4 linked regions of the Saccharomyces cerevisiae S288C genome follow. The protein of the gene in region 1 purifies or fractionates together with the protein of each later gene. This does not show direct contact. Each region holds a gene or a part of one and is shown in the gene's direction. Other genes may lie near its edges.

What was found.
Region 2: the proteins of ERB1 (region 1) and NOP13 purify together in Saccharomyces cerevisiae (affinity purification with mass spectrometry; 2 studies listed by BioGRID). This does not show direct contact.
Region 3: the proteins of ERB1 (region 1) and FPR4 purify together in Saccharomyces cerevisiae (affinity purification with mass spectrometry; 3 studies listed by BioGRID). This does not show direct contact.
Region 4: the proteins of ERB1 (region 1) and NSA1 purify together in Saccharomyces cerevisiae (affinity purification with mass spectrometry; 10 studies listed by BioGRID, with this or other methods). This does not show direct contact.

Annotation. Positions count from the first base shown.
Region 1 is NC_001145.3:367,594-372,817, reverse strand, and holds ERB1 (ribosome biogenesis protein ERB1), read left to right. Parts: upstream 1-2,300; coding exon 2,301-4,724; downstream 4,725-5,224. Other genes in the region: CSM3 (Csm3p), read right to left, coding at 4,884-5,224.
Region 2 is NC_001146.8:306,258-310,332, reverse strand, and holds NOP13 (Nop13p), read left to right. Parts: upstream 1-1,720; coding exon 1,721-2,932; downstream 2,933-4,075. Other genes in the region: MDG1 (Mdg1p), read left to right, coding at 276-1,376; TDA7 (Tda7p), read left to right, coding at 3,353-4,075.
Region 3 is NC_001144.5:1,028,324-1,032,570, forward strand, and holds FPR4 (peptidylprolyl isomerase FPR4), read left to right. Parts: upstream 1-2,510; coding exon 2,511-3,689; downstream 3,690-4,247. Other genes in the region: 60S ribosomal protein eL6 RPL6B, read left to right, coding at 531-545, 930-1,445. UniProt on the Saccharomyces cerevisiae protein: PPIase that acts as a histone chaperone. Histone proline isomerase that increases the rate of cis-trans isomerization at 'Pro-17' (H3P16), 'Pro-31' (H3P30) and 'Pro-39 (H3P38) on the histone H3 N-terminal tail.
Region 4 is NC_001139.9:297,893-302,068, forward strand, and holds NSA1 (ribosome biosynthesis protein NSA1), read left to right. Parts: upstream 1-2,085; coding exon 2,086-3,477; downstream 3,478-4,176. Other genes in the region: SLD3 (Sld3p), read left to right, coding at 1-46; TATA-binding protein-associated factor TAF6, read right to left, coding at 286-1,836; CUE3 (Cue3p), read right to left, coding at 3,645-4,176. UniProt on the Saccharomyces cerevisiae protein: Involved in the biogenesis of the 60S ribosomal subunit.

The DNA of each region.
Region 1 (5,224 bases):
TTCCATTTTGAGGATTCCTATATCCTCGAGGAGAACTTCTAGTATATTCTGTATACCTAATATTATAGCCTTTATCAACAATGGAATCCCAACAATTATCTAATTACCCACATATATCTCACCTTCTTACACTGTATATGATAATATATTAATATTAAACCAGTCAATAAATGTAATTGATTATTTCAACACGAAAACCTAACTATCAACGATATCACATAGAACAGCGAAGAGTTAGAAGATTTATTAGAAGATTTATTAGTATAGGTTATTTTAGATGCAATTTTTCAATAAAACCTGGTTTCGTGGTCTAGTCGGTTATGGCATCTGCTTAACACGCAGAACGTCCCCAGTTCGATCCTGGGCGAAATCATTTTTTTAGCACTTTAGCAGCATATTGCGGTATCGAATCATCTTCATGAATGGCGCAGATTTATTTGAACTGTTCAATCATAAATTAACCTTATGTGAATAGTCTGGGTAGGTTGAAACTTCGGAAATCACTTGCTTTTCTGAGGGCTGCGCGTAATCTAGATAGATCTACCTAAATGACACCGATGGCAACTTCAAGCTATACTAACTCCTAGACATTACTTTCTTCAGTATTCCCTTAGTGCCTGTTTTGAGCTATGAGATTGGTATTATTATTTGAAATATCTTCTATTGCGGTATCTGATTTTATATTTCTAGCTTTGTCATAAAATATAAAATACACAAATATATATATAGAGATAAGATAGATTATTTTTGATGACTTGCAAGTTGCACTAGGATTTGTTTTTCTTCTAAAAACCCCTTAAAGGTATTTCCAGAGAAAATATTATGCTGGTTATTCGATACTATTATCCAGTATACACTGACCTATGTTATAAGCAAAGGTTCTTCGTTCTGCCTCTTTAACAGGTGGAGTGCGTGCCATTATCATCAATGAAAGTTTAACATGTAATTGTCATCAGCTGTATACTGTTCGAATCTGTTCATTACGAAGGTTTAACTTCAAAAATCGAAAAGAAAAAAAATAGAAGATAAGAATATTGCATAGATCCTTCTTTTTTAGTGAAGTCACCGAATAATACATATAATGAAGTTAAAATTACAAACCGTGCAAAAACACCGCTGATTTAGAGTGGGCGATTTCATAGATCAAAAAGCAGGCTAAATATGAATTGAAAATTAAGTAGTCTACTATTTTCTGACAGCAGTGGCGCGCGACGGTTTCCAGGAAGTTTATTATTCAACGTGTCCAATTTTCACACGCTGCTTGACATCGTTATTCCCTGAACGCATTTTTACACTGTATGCGCAATTTGAGCCACTTTGATGGACTATTATGTATGAATAGCTTAGCTTAAAGAAGTAACAGTAGAGTGTTGAACCTTTAAGTGCTTGATGTACTCGAGCCTTTTTCTATGATACCTCACTCCAGAAAAAAGCGTTTAACATATCTGGCATTGAGGGTGGTCTCAAACAATAAAAGTATCCTATTTAATATTTTAACATTGCTGATAACCTAAAAAATCTGAACGTTGCCAGCATAAAACCTCAGCTTTATATCGTACTGAATAACATACTTACTGCAGGGCGAAATTTTTCTCAAATTGTGCCTAAATCGTTAAGTTACTAAACTTTTACGCGCAGTACTGGCATTGAGCGATCAATATTGTTTAATGCGTAGTGACGATCTTCTCCACTTATATTTTTTTATTCGTAGTTCTCTATTTTCGTTTCGATTTGTTTTCTCTGTCTACCAGATTAAAAGTGATTTGAAGTTTTTTATCATGAACTAAACAATAAAATTACAAAAAAAAAAAGTCAGCGTCACCAAGGATTGCTACCAATATACGACTTTACTGCTGTATTATCGAATTTTACCTTCTAGGATATTATGTAAAGTCTCTAGCAAAGGGAGAAAACTAATGTTACTAGGACTGAAGAACATTTTCCTCTTATAGTGTAAAATTGATTTTGACAAGAATATAATTAATACATTTTTTTTCTTTTGATAGCAGTATTGAGTACAATGAATTGAGCATTCAAGGTTCAACATGTGATAGTAGCTCTACCGCTAGTATGTTATTGCTAATTAAGTAGGATTGAATTGTCGCGATTTTGTCATTTTGGGTTTTAATAACTCTTGTACGGGTTACCCCATTTGTTTTTGAAGATTAGTGAAAAATTATTGAAAATTTTTTTTTTTTTGGTTTTGCGATGAGCTTATAATTTACATATGTGATATATTCGCATATAGATCCTAGCGAAGAAAGGTACTGTATTAAATCTGTTCTAACATAACTAGGTCAATGATGGCTAAGAACAACAAAACTACCGAGGCAAAGATGTCGAAAAAGAGAGCAGCTAGCGAAGAATCTGATGTCGAGGAAGATGAGGACAAGCTTTTATCCGTTGACGGTTTGATCGATGCGGAAGCAAGTGAGAGTGACGAGGATGATGACGAATACGAGTCTGCCGTTGAAGAAAAGGAATCATCTTCTGATAAAGAAGCCCAAGATGATTCTGATGATGACTCCGATGCTGAATTAAACAAACTGCTTGCCGAAGAAGAAGGTGATGGGGAAGAGGACTATGACAGTTCTGAGTTTTCAGACGACACAACTTCCTTAACAGACAGATTATCGGGTGTGAAATTGCAAACGATCGTTGATCCGAATATTTACTCAAAATATGCAGATGGCAGTGATAGAATTATCAAACCTGAAATTAATCCAGTTTATGATAGCGATGATAGTGATGCCGAAACGCAAAATACCATTGGTAATATTCCACTTTCTGCATACGATGAAATGCCACACATTGGATACGATATCAACGGTAAAAGGATTATGAGACCTGCCAAGGGTTCTGCTTTAGATCAACTGTTGGATTCTATCGAGCTACCTGAAGGCTGGACTGGTTTACTGGACAAGAATTCCGGTTCAAGTTTGAACTTAACCAAAGAGGAATTAGAACTTATTTCCAAAATCCAAAGGAACGAACAAACTGATGATAGCATAAATCCATACGAACCGTTAATCGATTGGTTCACGAGACACGAAGAAGTGATGCCATTAACTGCTGTTCCGGAGCCAAAAAGAAGATTTGTTCCATCCAAAAACGAAGCCAAGAGAGTTATGAAAATTGTAAGAGCTATCAGAGAGGGCCGTATTATTCCTCCTAAAAAATTAAAGGAAATGAAAGAAAAGGAAAAAATTGAAAACTATCAATACGATTTATGGGGTGATTCTACGGAAACAAATGATCATGTAATGCATCTAAGGGCACCAAAATTACCTCCACCAACTAATGAAGAGAGTTATAATCCACCAGAAGAGTATCTTTTGTCTCCTGAAGAAAAGGAGGCCTGGGAAAATACTGAATATAGTGAAAGAGAAAGAAACTTCATACCTCAAAAGTATTCTGCCTTAAGAAAGGTCCCTGGTTACGGTGAATCTATTAGGGAAAGATTTGAAAGATCTTTGGATTTATATTTAGCTCCTCGTGTCCGTAAAAACAAATTGAATATTGATCCTAATTCTCTAATTCCAGAACTTCCCTCTCCCAAGGATTTAAGACCCTTCCCTATTCGTTGCTCAACAATATACGCTGGTCACAAAGGAAAAGTACGCACATTATCCATTGATCCTTCTGGATTATGGCTAGCAACAGGATCTGATGACGGAACAGTCAGGGTATGGGAAATTTTAACTGGTAGAGAAGTTTATAGAACTACTTTAATCGATGACGAGGAAAACCCAGATTACCACATTGAATGCATTGAATGGAATCCTGATGCTAATAATGGTATTCTCGCCGTTGCTGTTGGTGAAAACATTCATTTAATAGTACCACCAATATTCGGCTACGATATTGAAAATAACGGCAAAACTAAGATTGAAGATGGTTTTGGCTACGATACTTTTGGGACTGTTAAAAAATCTAACCTAGAAGTGAACGAGAATGGTGATGGCGATGAAGATGGAGAGAATGAATCTGCTAAGAATGCTGTAAAAAAACAAGTAGCCCAATGGAACAAGCCTTCTCAAAAGCAACTAGAAAAGGATATTTGTATCACTATTTCTTGCAAAAAAACAGTAAAAAAGCTTTCATGGCATAGAAAAGGTGATTACTTTGTCACTGTTCAACCTGACTCTGGTAACACTTCTGTTTTGATTCACCAAGTTTCCAAGCATTTAACCCAATCCCCATTCAAAAAATCGAAGGGCATTATTATGGATGCGAAGTTCCATCCTTTTAAACCTCAATTATTTGTCTGTTCCCAAAGATATGTCAGAATTTATGATTTATCTCAACAAATATTGGTCAAGAAACTGTTGCCTGGTGCCCGTTGGTTATCGAAAATCGATATTCACCCAAGGGGTGATAATTTAATTGCGTCATCGTTTGACAAGAGAGTTTTATGGCACGACCTGGATTTGGCTAGCACACCTTACAAGACACTAAGATATCATGAAAAAGCCGTCAGAAGTGTGAATTTCCACAAAAAGTTACCTCTATTCAGCTCTGCCGCTGATGACGGTACCATACATGTTTTCCATGCCACTGTTTATGATGACATGATGAAAAATCCGATGATTGTGCCACTAAAGAAACTAACCGGTCATAAAGTAATCAATAGTCTGGGTGTTCTTGATGCTATTTGGCATCCGAGGGAAGCTTGGCTGTTTTCTGCCGGTGCTGATAATACGGCTCGCTTATGGACCACCTAGATAAATAATTTGAAGTAGATATTGTATAATAACGCCCAAGAAGAAAAAATCAAACACTCGAACCAGGCTCTTTCTACAAGCTTTATTTACACAATATATATAAACCTATATGTATAGATGCCCACACGCACGTTTGGATTATTACCTTCAATGACATTGCTAAAAGCCCATTTCCTTCATAGCATCCAACTCATCTTGATCTACGCCAAACTCATCTCCCCCTGGCAATAAATCATAATGAGTATGTTGTCCCTCTATATCATTCATTTCCCACTCTTCCAAACTTTGAATCAGTTGAACGTCTTCTTCAGTCATAGAGCCTTTTTCCATTTTTCTATGCGCATCTAGCCATCCTAATAAGAGCTTCTTCTCATTTTCTTCAAGGCCAACGGGCCCTTGTACCCTGAATGTCTTCAATAATGCATCCAAATCTTCCTTAGGCGGCACAACGTTGTTAAGTACCGTTTCATTATTCCCACGTTCGTCCAAAACTCGTCCTC
Region 2 (4,075 bases), on another chromosome or scaffold:
AGGCTGGCCTTTTCCGCAAATATCTGGGGCAGCGAAGCGAAGGGGCCCGATAGGAACTTTTGGGGCGGGAGCCCTTGCATTGACATGGTTAAGGTTTTACATCCATCATTCTCCCCCTCTCTTGTGGTTTAAAAAAATAAAAGGTGGCCGATTTTTATGTAATATAGAAACGACTTCTGTCCTTCTGTCCTCTGTATTACCTAATTTTCTTTCTCTTGATGGTATTTAACTTTCTAAGCATTATAAGATAATATTAAAGGGAAAGTGTTTCTAGAATGCAATCGAGCTTACCTCAATTTACGTTCAAATGGCCCAAAGGACCCGAAGCAATTATTCTGACAGGCACGTTCGACGACTGGAAAGGTACTTTGCCGATGGTGAAGGACCCCAGTGGCGCCTTCGAAATAACGCTGCCAGTAACGTTTGATAGCCCTAGCAGCAAGTTTTATTTCAAGTTTATTGTTGATGGCCAATGGCTGCCAAGCAAAGACTACAAGGTGAACATCGACGAGGGAGTGGAAAACAACTTTATTACCGAGGAAGACGTAATAAAGCAACGCGAAAATGGCTCTAGCACGCTGGTACCTGAAAGTGCCGGATTAGCTGTTTCAAAGAATGCCCCTCTTATCGAACCAGAAGCTGAAAAACGTGCAAAAAAATTAAGAAAGTTCAAGATCAAGAGAGTGATCAAGACAAATAAACAAACCGGAGAAAGGTCGATATTTTCCCAAGAAGTGGTTGAATTGCCCGATAGCGAGGATGAAACCCAGCAGGTGAACAAAACGGGCAAGAATGCGGATGGCTTAAGCGGTACTACAACGATAATTGAGAATAATGTTGGTGTAAACGAGGAAAAAGCAATCAAGCCGTATGAAGAGAATCACCCCAAAGTTAATCTAGTTAAGAGTGAAGGATATGTTACGGACGGTTTGGGTAAGACGCAATCTTCTGAGTCTAGATTATATGAACTATCGGCCGAAGATCTTGAAAAGGAAGAAGAGGAAGAGGACGAAGATAAAGGCGGCGGTAAGGACACCAGTACAAGTGCAGACGCTGAAGCTTCAGAAGATCAAAATAAGGAACCATTAAGTAAATCCGCTAAATTTGAAAAACCGGAAGAAAAAGTACCTGTAAGCTCAATTACAAGCCATGCTAAAGAGACTTCTGTGAAACCAACCGGCAAGGTTGCGACTGAGACTCAAACTTACGAGACGAAACAGGGCGCTCCTACCGCTGCCGCAAAAAAAATCGAAGCTAAGAAAGCTACTAGACCTTCGAAACCTAAGGGCACGAAAGAAACACCAAATAAAGGTGTCCAAAAGAACCCTGCTAAGAATGGAGGGTTCTTTAAAAAGTTGGCCCAGCTTTTGAAGTGAAAACAATCAGGAGAATACCTAAATATATGACGTACTCGCCATACCTAACTATGTAAAACCTAATTATGTATTAATAACAATACCATGTTGTATGTAAACTCTGATGTAGGATCGCACTTTTGCCGAAAGCACATGCTTGTCTTTGTATTTCGCTTGTACGCCTTTGCTCAGAAAATTCTGTAGGAGTCACGTTTCCCGTTGAAATGCAAAAACCTGAAATTTTTCAGTCTGAAAGAAAAAATTGCGATGAGCATAGATGATAAATTTAACCATACAACAAAGAGAAATCCTTTTCCCCACAGAACATTACCTAAACCCAACAACTTTCTATAATTTGAGATAGAATGTCAGAAACAGAACTGTCGAAAGAAGATGCTGTTACAAAAAAGGATAACGAGGAACAAGTCAAGAAGGCTTTACTCGATCCAACAAAAAAGAGAAAAGCTGAAGATGAAATTGAGATTGACCTGAAAAGCTCCATTCCCCTATCAAAAAAACAGAAACGTCTCTTGAGAAGAGGTAAAGTTACTCTAGAGGAGTTGAATGCGAAGTACAATATCGACCCTAAGTCAATCGAGGAATACAAAGAAGATGCTGAAAAGAAAAAGTCTGGTGCTTCTGAGAAAGACGCCCAGGGTGAAGAATCTACAATCAACACTCCAACAGGAGATGAATCTGGCGAGGTTGTAAAAAAGAAGAAGAAAGATGAAAATAAATATGGTGTTTGGATTGGTAACTTATCCTTCGACACCACAAAGGACGATTTAGTAAGATTTTTTATTGCTAAAACAAAAGACAACGAAGATGAAAAGAGCAGAGTCACCGAACAAGACATAACCAGGTTATCCATGCCTCGTGTTGCTGCCAAGAACTCTAACGCCATGAAAAATAAGGGATTTTGCTACATGTTTTTCAAGAACGTCGAGCAGATGAAAGCGGTCTTAGAATTATCTGAATCTCATTTAAACGGAAGGAATATGCTAATCAAGGACTCCGAAAATTATTCAGGTAGGCCAGACAAGGACGATTTAGTTGCCATGTCCAAAAATCCACCGTCAAGGATTCTATTTGTCGGTAATTTGTCATTCGATGTCACAGATGATCTGTTAAGAAAACACTTCCAACATTGTGGTGATATCGTGAAAATCCGCATGGCAACATTCGAAGATAGTGGTAAATGTAAAGGATTCGCATTTATCGACTTCAAGAATGAAGAAGGATCTACTAATGCATTAAAGGATAAAAGTTGTAGAAAAATTGCCGGAAGGCCATTGCGAATGGAATACGGTGAAGATAGAAGTAAAAGACAAGTTCGTAAGAAGGTTGAAAATGTATCCAGAAACAATTCCTCATCATTTGATATCTCTAACAACAAAGGATACGATCGTGCGGGACAGGATAACGGCAGCAAACCCGAATACAAGCGGTCCAACGCCAACAGACGTCCACCTGTAGATTCCAATAACCGAACTAAGAGCAGTGTAGCTTTAGCCACTGCTCAGAGAGGTTCTGCAGCTATTGTCCCATCACAAGGTAAGAAAGTGAAGTTTGACTAATCAGCGTGAACTGACTGTAGGTGCCACGTATATAATGCGATTATTTCGCTTGTAAATTATTCAATCATTCATGTTTTATATATACATTGTATAACCAATTGCTGCTATTTTTATTTTTTCCATTATTGCTTATCAAGGCACGGGGAGAACGCACGGAAAAAAAAAAAAAAAAGAAGAAAGAAATGAGGTAAACAAGATCTTTAGGAGCGGTTCGCATATTAGTAATACACTGATAATCGCCGTACACTCATAAAATCCTAAACTACTCACCAGGTACCGAAACACTACTGATCCGTTTTTTGGACTGGTTGTTGGCACACTTTCGCTTAAGACACACATTTAGTATTTCAATCCCCATCCGTCGATATCTGAAGGAAATCTAAAAGAAAAGCTGGATAGAGTAATTATTTTGGCCATCGTATGAACTCCAATAGTACCATCGGAAGGACCACCCTTGGAGAATCTGATACGATATCCCTGTCATTCAGTGAACCAAGTAGCAGTCTGAATTCACGATCAACGGATGTTGTCTTCGCATCTACTTCAACTTTAGTACCCCAACAAGGAAGTCTGACCTCATTACCGCCCGTGTCTAGTACAGCTACTCCTACATATTATTCTACAAGCTTAACATATGATGAGACTTTGCATACATCCATTGATGTATCTTCGACAAGTACTTTAGTATCATCTACCGACAGCAGTTCATCGAGCGAGCAAGATACGTATAGTTCCCAATATGACCCAGCTACCTCCTCATACTCAATAATTACACCATCCATGTCCATTTTCTCATCGACGTCACCAATGTCATCATCGTCGTCAATAACGTCGGAATGGTCATCGTTAACATCAACAACACCAACGTTATCGTCATCAGCTACATCGCTGTCATCATCATGGTCGTCGTTATCATCACCATCTTCGTTACTGGTATCGTCCTCGTTGTCATTATCACTATCTTCATCATATTCAGACACTAAATTGTTTTCGTTCGACAGCAGATCTTCTATTTTCTCACCATCAACACCCACCGTAATATCCCCTAGTTACACATACTTGTCTTCCATATCTGCAACTTCATTTCAAATTAGTACCACTTCAGAACTCTCTTCTAGTTGGTTCTCAACAATTTCTTCTCCT
Region 3 (4,247 bases), on another chromosome or scaffold:
TCATGTCCTACCTTTTTTCCTTCTTTCTTCCTTGTCTTAATCTGAAAGTTACTAATAATAATAAAGACAAAATATCACCCATGCACCAAAATGTATGGGTCATAATTTTTTTTCTTGCCTTCAAAAATCGTTGTTAGCTGCAAAATGGCGGTGAAACACATAGTTGTGGTTATGCGTCCCCTCCGGGCGGCCGCAGATGGAGGATGCCCCCATGTGCTGATTCTCCCCGTAGGCGGCGAGTAATATCCTCGCCTAACCTGGACTTGCCGTGCTAAGTCGGCCTTCTAGGCTGCGCTTCCGTTCAGCATCGTTTACGGTAGAGGGAGCACATGGGCGGAAACAAACCTCATTCTGGTCCTGTGCTTGCCCATTTGCACTGTATAGAGTGTGTGAGTTTCAATTAATGTTGTAGGCGCGAGGCCCTGTAATATGGCAGTTGATCAAAAGTCAATAGATAATTTTCAAGCAAAATCTCATTTAGGTTTGACTACTTTCTTGAACTTGGAAGAGAAGCAAATATATTCAACGAAATGACTGCCCAACAAGTATGTGTAAAGATGAGTAAATTGAAGGATGTGATGGTTATGGAGATGGCACACGTGCCTAGAGGAAAATAGTTACCCAAGAACAAAAGCAGGAAGGGAGCTAACCTTTTAAATATGAACTGGACAAAACTGGACAAAATGAAAATAACGATTTTAGTAAAAATGAAAATATAGCATCAAATGACTGAGAAACATAGTAACAATAACTCATATTATAGCTAATCTGAGTAAACTTCTTCCTACGCTAAGAATTTTTTTGAGGATAGTACCAAACCTTGTGCTGAATCAGCACACGCCATGCCCACCATCAATTGTGCAAGAAAAAAGTAAACGAGTAGTATACTAACTATATATGTGATTTACATCACGATATGTCAATTATAGGCCCCAAAGTGGTATCCTTCCGAAGACGTTGCTGCCCCAAAGAAAACCAGAAAGGCTGTTCGCCCACAAAAGTTGCGTGCCTCTCTAGTTCCAGGCACTGTTTTGATCTTGCTAGCTGGCCGTTTCAGAGGTAAGAGAGTTGTCTACTTGAAACATCTAGAAGACAACACTCTATTGGTCACTGGTCCATTCAAGGTCAATGGTGTTCCATTGAGAAGAGTCAACGCTCGTTATGTCATTGCTACCTCTACCAAAGTCTCCGTGGAAGGTGTCAACGTTGAAAAATTCAACGTTGAATACTTTGCCAAGGAAAAATTGACCAAGAAGGAAAAGAAGGAAGCTAACTTGTTCCCAGAACAACAAACTAAGGAAATCAAGACTGAACGTGTTGAAGATCAAAAGGTTGTTGACAAGGCTTTGTTGGCTGAAATCAAGAAGACCCCATTGTTGAAGCAATATTTGTCCGCTTCTTTCTCTTTGAAGAACGGTGACAAGCCACACCTATTGAAATTCTAAATTGAACTGAAAAAATTATAAATGATTTAAAATAGAATTTCAAAACAAGGAGAATTGATAGAGAATGCGTTGATCTGAAAATACTGTTTGACAATAACGGAAAGGTAAGTGGATATGTAATCTAAGTTTAATCCTCTTCTAATTCATTTTTCCTATCAACATTATCTGTGCTTTTCTATATCCTTCTTTTTGTATCTATAATTTTTTTTTTCTCTTACATAGCAAAATACAAAAAATCATAAATATTAATATCTAAGGGTTCAAGATCAGGTCATCGCCGTTCTGGGCCACTAGGCTATATCTATTCATTTACATTGGAAGCTGCATGGTCTACTCCAACCGCACTGAGGCAAAGTCTCTGTGGAGGAAATGCTGTCCTAGCGAGCCATTGCAATAGGTATAATCAGAGTCGTCCTCCCAATGTGTTAACTTCTCTCAAAACCACCATATAAATTCTGTAACCTGCCAGCGATAATGTTATATATGTAAAAGGTAAACATACAACCCAATTTGTCCATACTAAGTGGATGCTGGGGAAGCAACTACAGTGCAGATGCTAAAGTTTGCTGCGGCAAATAATCTCAACATTTTTGTGATTAAACCTGCCTCAGTGGGGTGTATGATTAGTGCGTTGATATTTAATACACGCGTAAAAGTTAAGTCTGTTGTACGTTTTATTTCGAGTGACGAAAGAACTACGAATAACTTCCTGCATACTGTTGCCTTTTTCTGTATTTACGTATACTTTTATATCAAATAGCTTGGCCAAAAGAAAGTAGCATTGTGTATCAAGTCATAATTCTAATTCTTAGTTTAACTTCAGCAAAAATAATATTCTTCGTCAGACATTCTCATACAATCATTAACCCATATGAACGTTAAATTTCTCAATTTCTTGCCTTCGATGCCCTATGTATATTTTTATCTCAAACCCGAGGCAGTGAAAATTTTAGCTGGTGCATCGAAAAGAGAAGGGCATTGAAAATTTTACAGTGTTAAAAGAAGTGCTTTTCATGTTAGAATGATAAGAAAAAAGAAAAAGACAACAAAATATACGTCTCTACCATGTCTGATATGCTTCCATTGGCTACGTATAGCCTGAATGTTGAACCATACTCCCCAACCCCAGCTCTGAACTTCAAAATTCCGGTTACCATTAGAATCACAATGGCGGCCATCGACCCTGAGCCCTTTGACGATGACAAAAAGCCATCTACTTTAAGAATAATCAAAAGGAATCCTGAACTCACTCGCGGTGAGTACTACAACCAAGATAACAATGACGGCCTCGAAGAGGATGAAAGTGAAAGTGAACAAGAAGCAGATGTACCAAAAAGGAGTGTCAAATCAAAAAAAGGTAAGGCAGTCGAGCAAAGTGAATCAGAAGACTCTGAAGATGAAAACGAAATCGACGATGAATTCGAAGAATGCGTTCTTTTAACCTTATCTCCAAAAGGCCAATATCAACAAGCTTTGGATATTACCATTGCACCAGAGGAAGACGTTCAATTCGTCGTTACCGGTTCATACACTATCTCTCTAACCGGTAACTACGTCAAACATCCATTCGACAATTCTTCAGATTCAGACGAAGATGAAGAAGACTATTACAGTGACGAAGAATCTTCCAATGGAGAAGAAGAAGAAGAAGAAGAAGAAGAGGACGATGAGGAACTAAGTTCCGGTGATGACGATCTTGATGATTTAGTAGATGCTAGTGACATCGAAAGTCGTCTTGATGAATTAGTCAAAAAGGACGAAAAGAAGAAAAACAACAAGAAGGACAGTAAAAGGAAACATGAGGAAGATGAGGAAGAAAGTGCTAAACCTGCCGAGAAAAAACAAACGACCAAGAAAGACAAGAAAGCAGAGAAAGTTAAAGACTCGGAAGAGAGCAAACCAAAGCCAAAGACGAAGCTACTGGAAGGCGGTATTATCATTGAAGACCGCGTCACAGGAAAAGGCCCACATGCCAAAAAGGGTACCAGAGTTGGAATGAGATATGTTGGTAAGTTGAAGAACGGGAAAGTTTTTGACAAGAATACAAAGGGTAAGCCTTTTGTTTTTAAGTTGGGCCAAGGCGAAGTAATTAAAGGATGGGACATCGGTGTTGCTGGTATGGCGGTCGGTGGTGAGCGTAGAATTGTCATTCCTGCTCCATATGCCTACGGTAAACAAGCTTTGCCCGGTATTCCTGCTAACTCTGAATTGACATTTGATGTTAAATTGGTCTCCATGAAATAGGGTCCTTAATGCATACGTATTGATATATGTATCTATAATACTATATACAATTATCTATACTTCCATTACTAATATTATCTTTCAATTTTACATGTTTTTTTCTGCCATAAAAAAGCAATATTTTTTTGCGAGCTATTTAGTGATATAGCCGCCCAGCTACTTGTCGATGCATATATTGGCTGAGAGTACTAATACAATTATCGGAAGACCTCAAAGTAAAATATAGAAGCTTTGAGTAAAAGGAGCTCGAGTTTTAAAAATGACTTCGTAATATGTAAAGTTTATGTCATATATACTTACACGATAAATAGACCATTGATCGTTAGAGACGAGCGCATTGTTTTGTTGAATCCCTTTCAACAGCGCGACAAAAGTTAATCGAGAACAATAAGATGTTGCATTCAAGGGTTAGTCAAACATATCAGAAGGCCGTTTTCTAAATCACCTCAAGAACCTACCACACAGATACATCTTGAAGAGGTGGAGTACCAAAGGGAATATTTTGTACGAGCAAGTTATAGTAAGACACTTCAGTGAGAAATTAATCTGACTTACTTT
Region 4 (4,176 bases), on another chromosome or scaffold:
AAAAAGGAGAGTAAGAAGACGTTTATTTGCTCCAGAATCCACATAGAATAAGAAACTGCGAGACCACCTTCGCTGGCAAGTAGTTGACCCAACTCCATCTTTGTAGCTTTTCTTGGACGAAAAGGGAATAAAATAAAACTAAGCTACAACAATTTCGCACTTCGGGGGCCTTTGAGTATACAATTAAATAACTCATCATGCATATATATATATATACATACAATGGCGTATGTAAAAACTGTTATATAACATTACCGTTGTACTATTAGTATAAACCGATTCTCACTATTCGCCAAAAAATATCGCACTAATTAATTCTTTTGCGTCGTCTCTTTTCAAAATGTGAAATCCAATAGTGACACCACACCTCTCTAGCAATTTTTCCTTATCCTCATCCGTAACTTTTTCACCTTTACCCTCGTACAAATCTGGTAAATCCTTTTTTAGAACTAACAATGCACTAATTACAGTATCAACCAAGATTTGAGTTTCTTCTTTAGTAAATTTGGTCCTAGTTGGATTGGAGTCATCGTTCAAATGTTCCTCTATATTGTCTAGAGTTATTCCGCTTTCATTGAATACCAAGCGCGCCCAATTATTTAGGTTTCCTAAGAAGAATCTGATGGATTCACCTTCTAGTACCGATACACCCTTTAAGCACCCATAGTAAGTCCCAAAAACACGGTTTATGTCCAAAAATGTCTTTAGCAGTGTCCTAGTTACTCTTGGCTTCAGGGATTTGTATGCTTGAGGAAATTTTTTCAATACATAGTCCAACAAAGATGCGGCAAAATCACGTAGTGCATTCGTTCTTTCTAAAAATTCATGAATTTCTTGCGGCGAATCATCTTTTGGTGATCCACCAAGTTTTTTTGCTAATAGCAAGGTTAAAATGGAAGGCATTAACGAATGAATATAAGGGTCCAGGAAAATAGAAGTATTGCTTAGTAAAGAGTAAATCATTTCCAAAATTGTTGTTAGCAATTGTAAATCGGAAAGATTTTGTGTGATTTGTTCGGCAATAAATTGAATAAAATATGGAACCAGTTGGTGCAGGCCACTATCAGTTCGTAGTGAAGTCAAAGCTGCTTGTTTCATATGCTGTGCAGCTTCATCAGCTTGACTCTTCGCTGTCAAGGTTGAAATGACCTTATTGAAATAAATCTGTAATTCTTTGGATAAAACGTGTTTCACTAAAGGTTTGACTTCAGTATTCTGTCCTGGTTTAACATTAGACAGGTGTTGAGAGGCGCCTGTATCCGTCACAGAAGCACTTGCTGTCGTCGACGTTACAGGTGTTTGGAGGCTGTTATCATTCAAAGCAGTGACAATAGCACCTCTAATAAATGGTGGTTGGGATACCCTTATATCATTCAAATTTGGATTTTGGATTATGGCAGGTTGAACCCCTTCAACTGCTAGCCAATGTGTAGTAAAAGTTGGTAGACGAGGCACTTGCGGTAATGGCTCATTTATTAATCTATCAAAATCTACTTCTTCCTCATCCAGGTAGTAAACCGACTGTCCTCCACTTGTGTTAACCTTACTAAATGATACAGCTTTATTAACTTCAGAGCCATCATAATATCCATATAAAGGTTCCACATTCAGAACACGCAGGGCCTTCGATACATCGTCTGTAGTTAAAACATCTCTTTTAGAGTGTCTTTTAAACTTGACTGCCTGTTCAATAATCTCTAGAATACGGTATTCAACGTCCATAGCAAGTGCTTTCAACACGTCATCGTTGATATTTTCCAACCCAAGCGACTCAGCGACATCTTTAACAGTATCTTGTGGAGACCAAATTGTGTAAGATTGCTGCTGTGTAGACATTTTAACAGGCTATCAACTACACTGAGGCGTCCTTTGCTTCCTTTTTAAAGCCAATCTATTGTTTTCGCTCATGAACTACTTTTGCTGCTACTTGAATCGGTGTTTGTTATTGATGGTTTCCGGGTATTTTTTTGGTAATAAAATAAAGCTGAAAAATTTTGTAAAGCGATGCCCAATCTCGAAGCCTCACTTCAATGAACATAATACAGAGAAAATTTAACCATAAATAGGCCCAGCTTCGATCGTAAAATGAGGTTACTAGTCAGCTGTGTGGATAGTGGATCCATAAAGGAAGTTTTGTGTAACATCGGGACTGACACTTCCGTACAATCAGCACTGCAGCCTTTTCATGTGGCACCTCATCTAGCCGAAGGATTGAAAGCTTACGTTGACAGGATGTGGGTGATATCCGAAGATGAAGCCATCTTAGCAAGGAATTCAGGGGTCGTCGAACTTGTAAAGATTTCGAAACACCTTAAAGAAAATGAAGCTCTCCAGGTCGATCCCAAAGGAGAAAGCAAAAATGAAAAGAGCCTTTCCGATGATCTACCCAAATTTGACATATCCGAGTTTGAGATAACCAGCTCAGTTTCAGACCTTTTTGATGATGCCAAATTGGAATCACTTTCAAGTAAATCTGTTAAAAGAACCAAGTTGGTGGATGGTTTTGTCACATTATGTCCCATAAAAAAGGATTCGTCGAATAACACATTCGTAGCTGCTACCAAATCGGGATTATTACATATTATAAAAAAAGGAGAAGATAAAAAGTTAATAAAACTAGCATCCCTTGGACTGAAAGCACCAGTAGAATTTCTTCAGTTATATGATCTAGAAGATACCGATACTGATAAATATATATTTGCATACGGAGGGGAGGAGAATTTAATAAAATTAGTGGAAATAGATTCGAGTTTCCAATCTTTAAAGCAAATTTGGGAAGCCAAGAATGTTAAAAACGACAGGTTGGATATGAGAGTCCCAGTATGGCCCATGGCCCTAAGATTTTTGGAGCCCTCCCCTGGTAAAACTGAAAAGGGTAAGCTGAACTACCAGTTTGCAGCCATAACCCGTTGGTCCCACCTCACCAAATACAGCACACAACATGGCAGAAAACCGTTCGCTCAGATAGATTTATTACCTAACCGTGAACCATTATCTCAGATGGAAGTTTTTGATGCCAAGGGAGAAAATGTTGTCTCTTCGTTGGGGAATTTTCAATCTGAAACCTTTAATGAACTGAATGTGATTACTACTGACTACAAAAAGAATGTTTTTAAATTCGATGGTAATGGAAGAATGTTGGGCAAGGTGGGTAGAGATGATATCACTGGTTCGTCAACCTATATTCATGTACATGACGGCAAATATCTTTTACAAGGTGGTTTAGATAGGTATGTTCGGATCTTCGATATAAAAACTAACAAAATGCTGGTGAAGGTTTATGTTGGGTCCCGTATAAATTTTATTGTTATGCTGGATGACGTTGAAATCGAGATGCCACTAAGTCCAAGTGCGAAAGCTGCCAAAGGGAAGCAAAAAAGGAAGGTTACAGAACTTGAAGAAGACGCAGATGAGCTTTGGAATAAATTGGAGGGAAAGGTAGCTGCTTCTAAAGCCAGTAAGAAAAGCAAAATTTAATAGTAAAGGACGCTAATTGAAGGCAAAGTTTTACTAGTCGGCGGGAAAAATTATTAAAAAAAGCACTTCCTGAACGCGACGCTGAATAACTTATAATACGTTACATAATTGTATACCGTCTAGTAAACTTACATACGCTTGTCTATCTTGTATGCTGATGCATTTTATCAAATAGCGTTATTTCCCGCACGAGCCAATTTTTTATCGTGCCCCTTCTTACGGTTATGGTTAGCTCTAGCCCCTTTCCTTTTTTCATTCTTAGCATGCTGTCTTTTCTTCTGTTCAGTAGATTGAGGTTCATGTTTCTTAATATTTTCAGATTTTTTTTGTTTGGCTTGTTCTTTGACGACATTTCCATCATTTTGGCTATCACGATTATGAACATAAGACGTTTTCCCTGTTTTGCTATTTCCTTTGAACATAAACTTCTTTTCTAAAAGTCTTGCTCGGGTAGGAGATCTTTCTAACATCCGACACCAACCTTCGATTTTTTCATCCGACCATGAAGTCATTTCTTTCATAGTTTTCCTGACTTTTGTACCTCTTTTTGATCTCTCAAATAATTTCGGATCCTCTTTCAATAGATTCCACAAGTAAGCTTCAACAATATGATAGTTATGATCTTGTCGCACTTCATTAGAATCATCTTTTGTATCATAGCTTTCTTCGTCTTCTTGAAGTCCAATTCTTTTCGAAGGA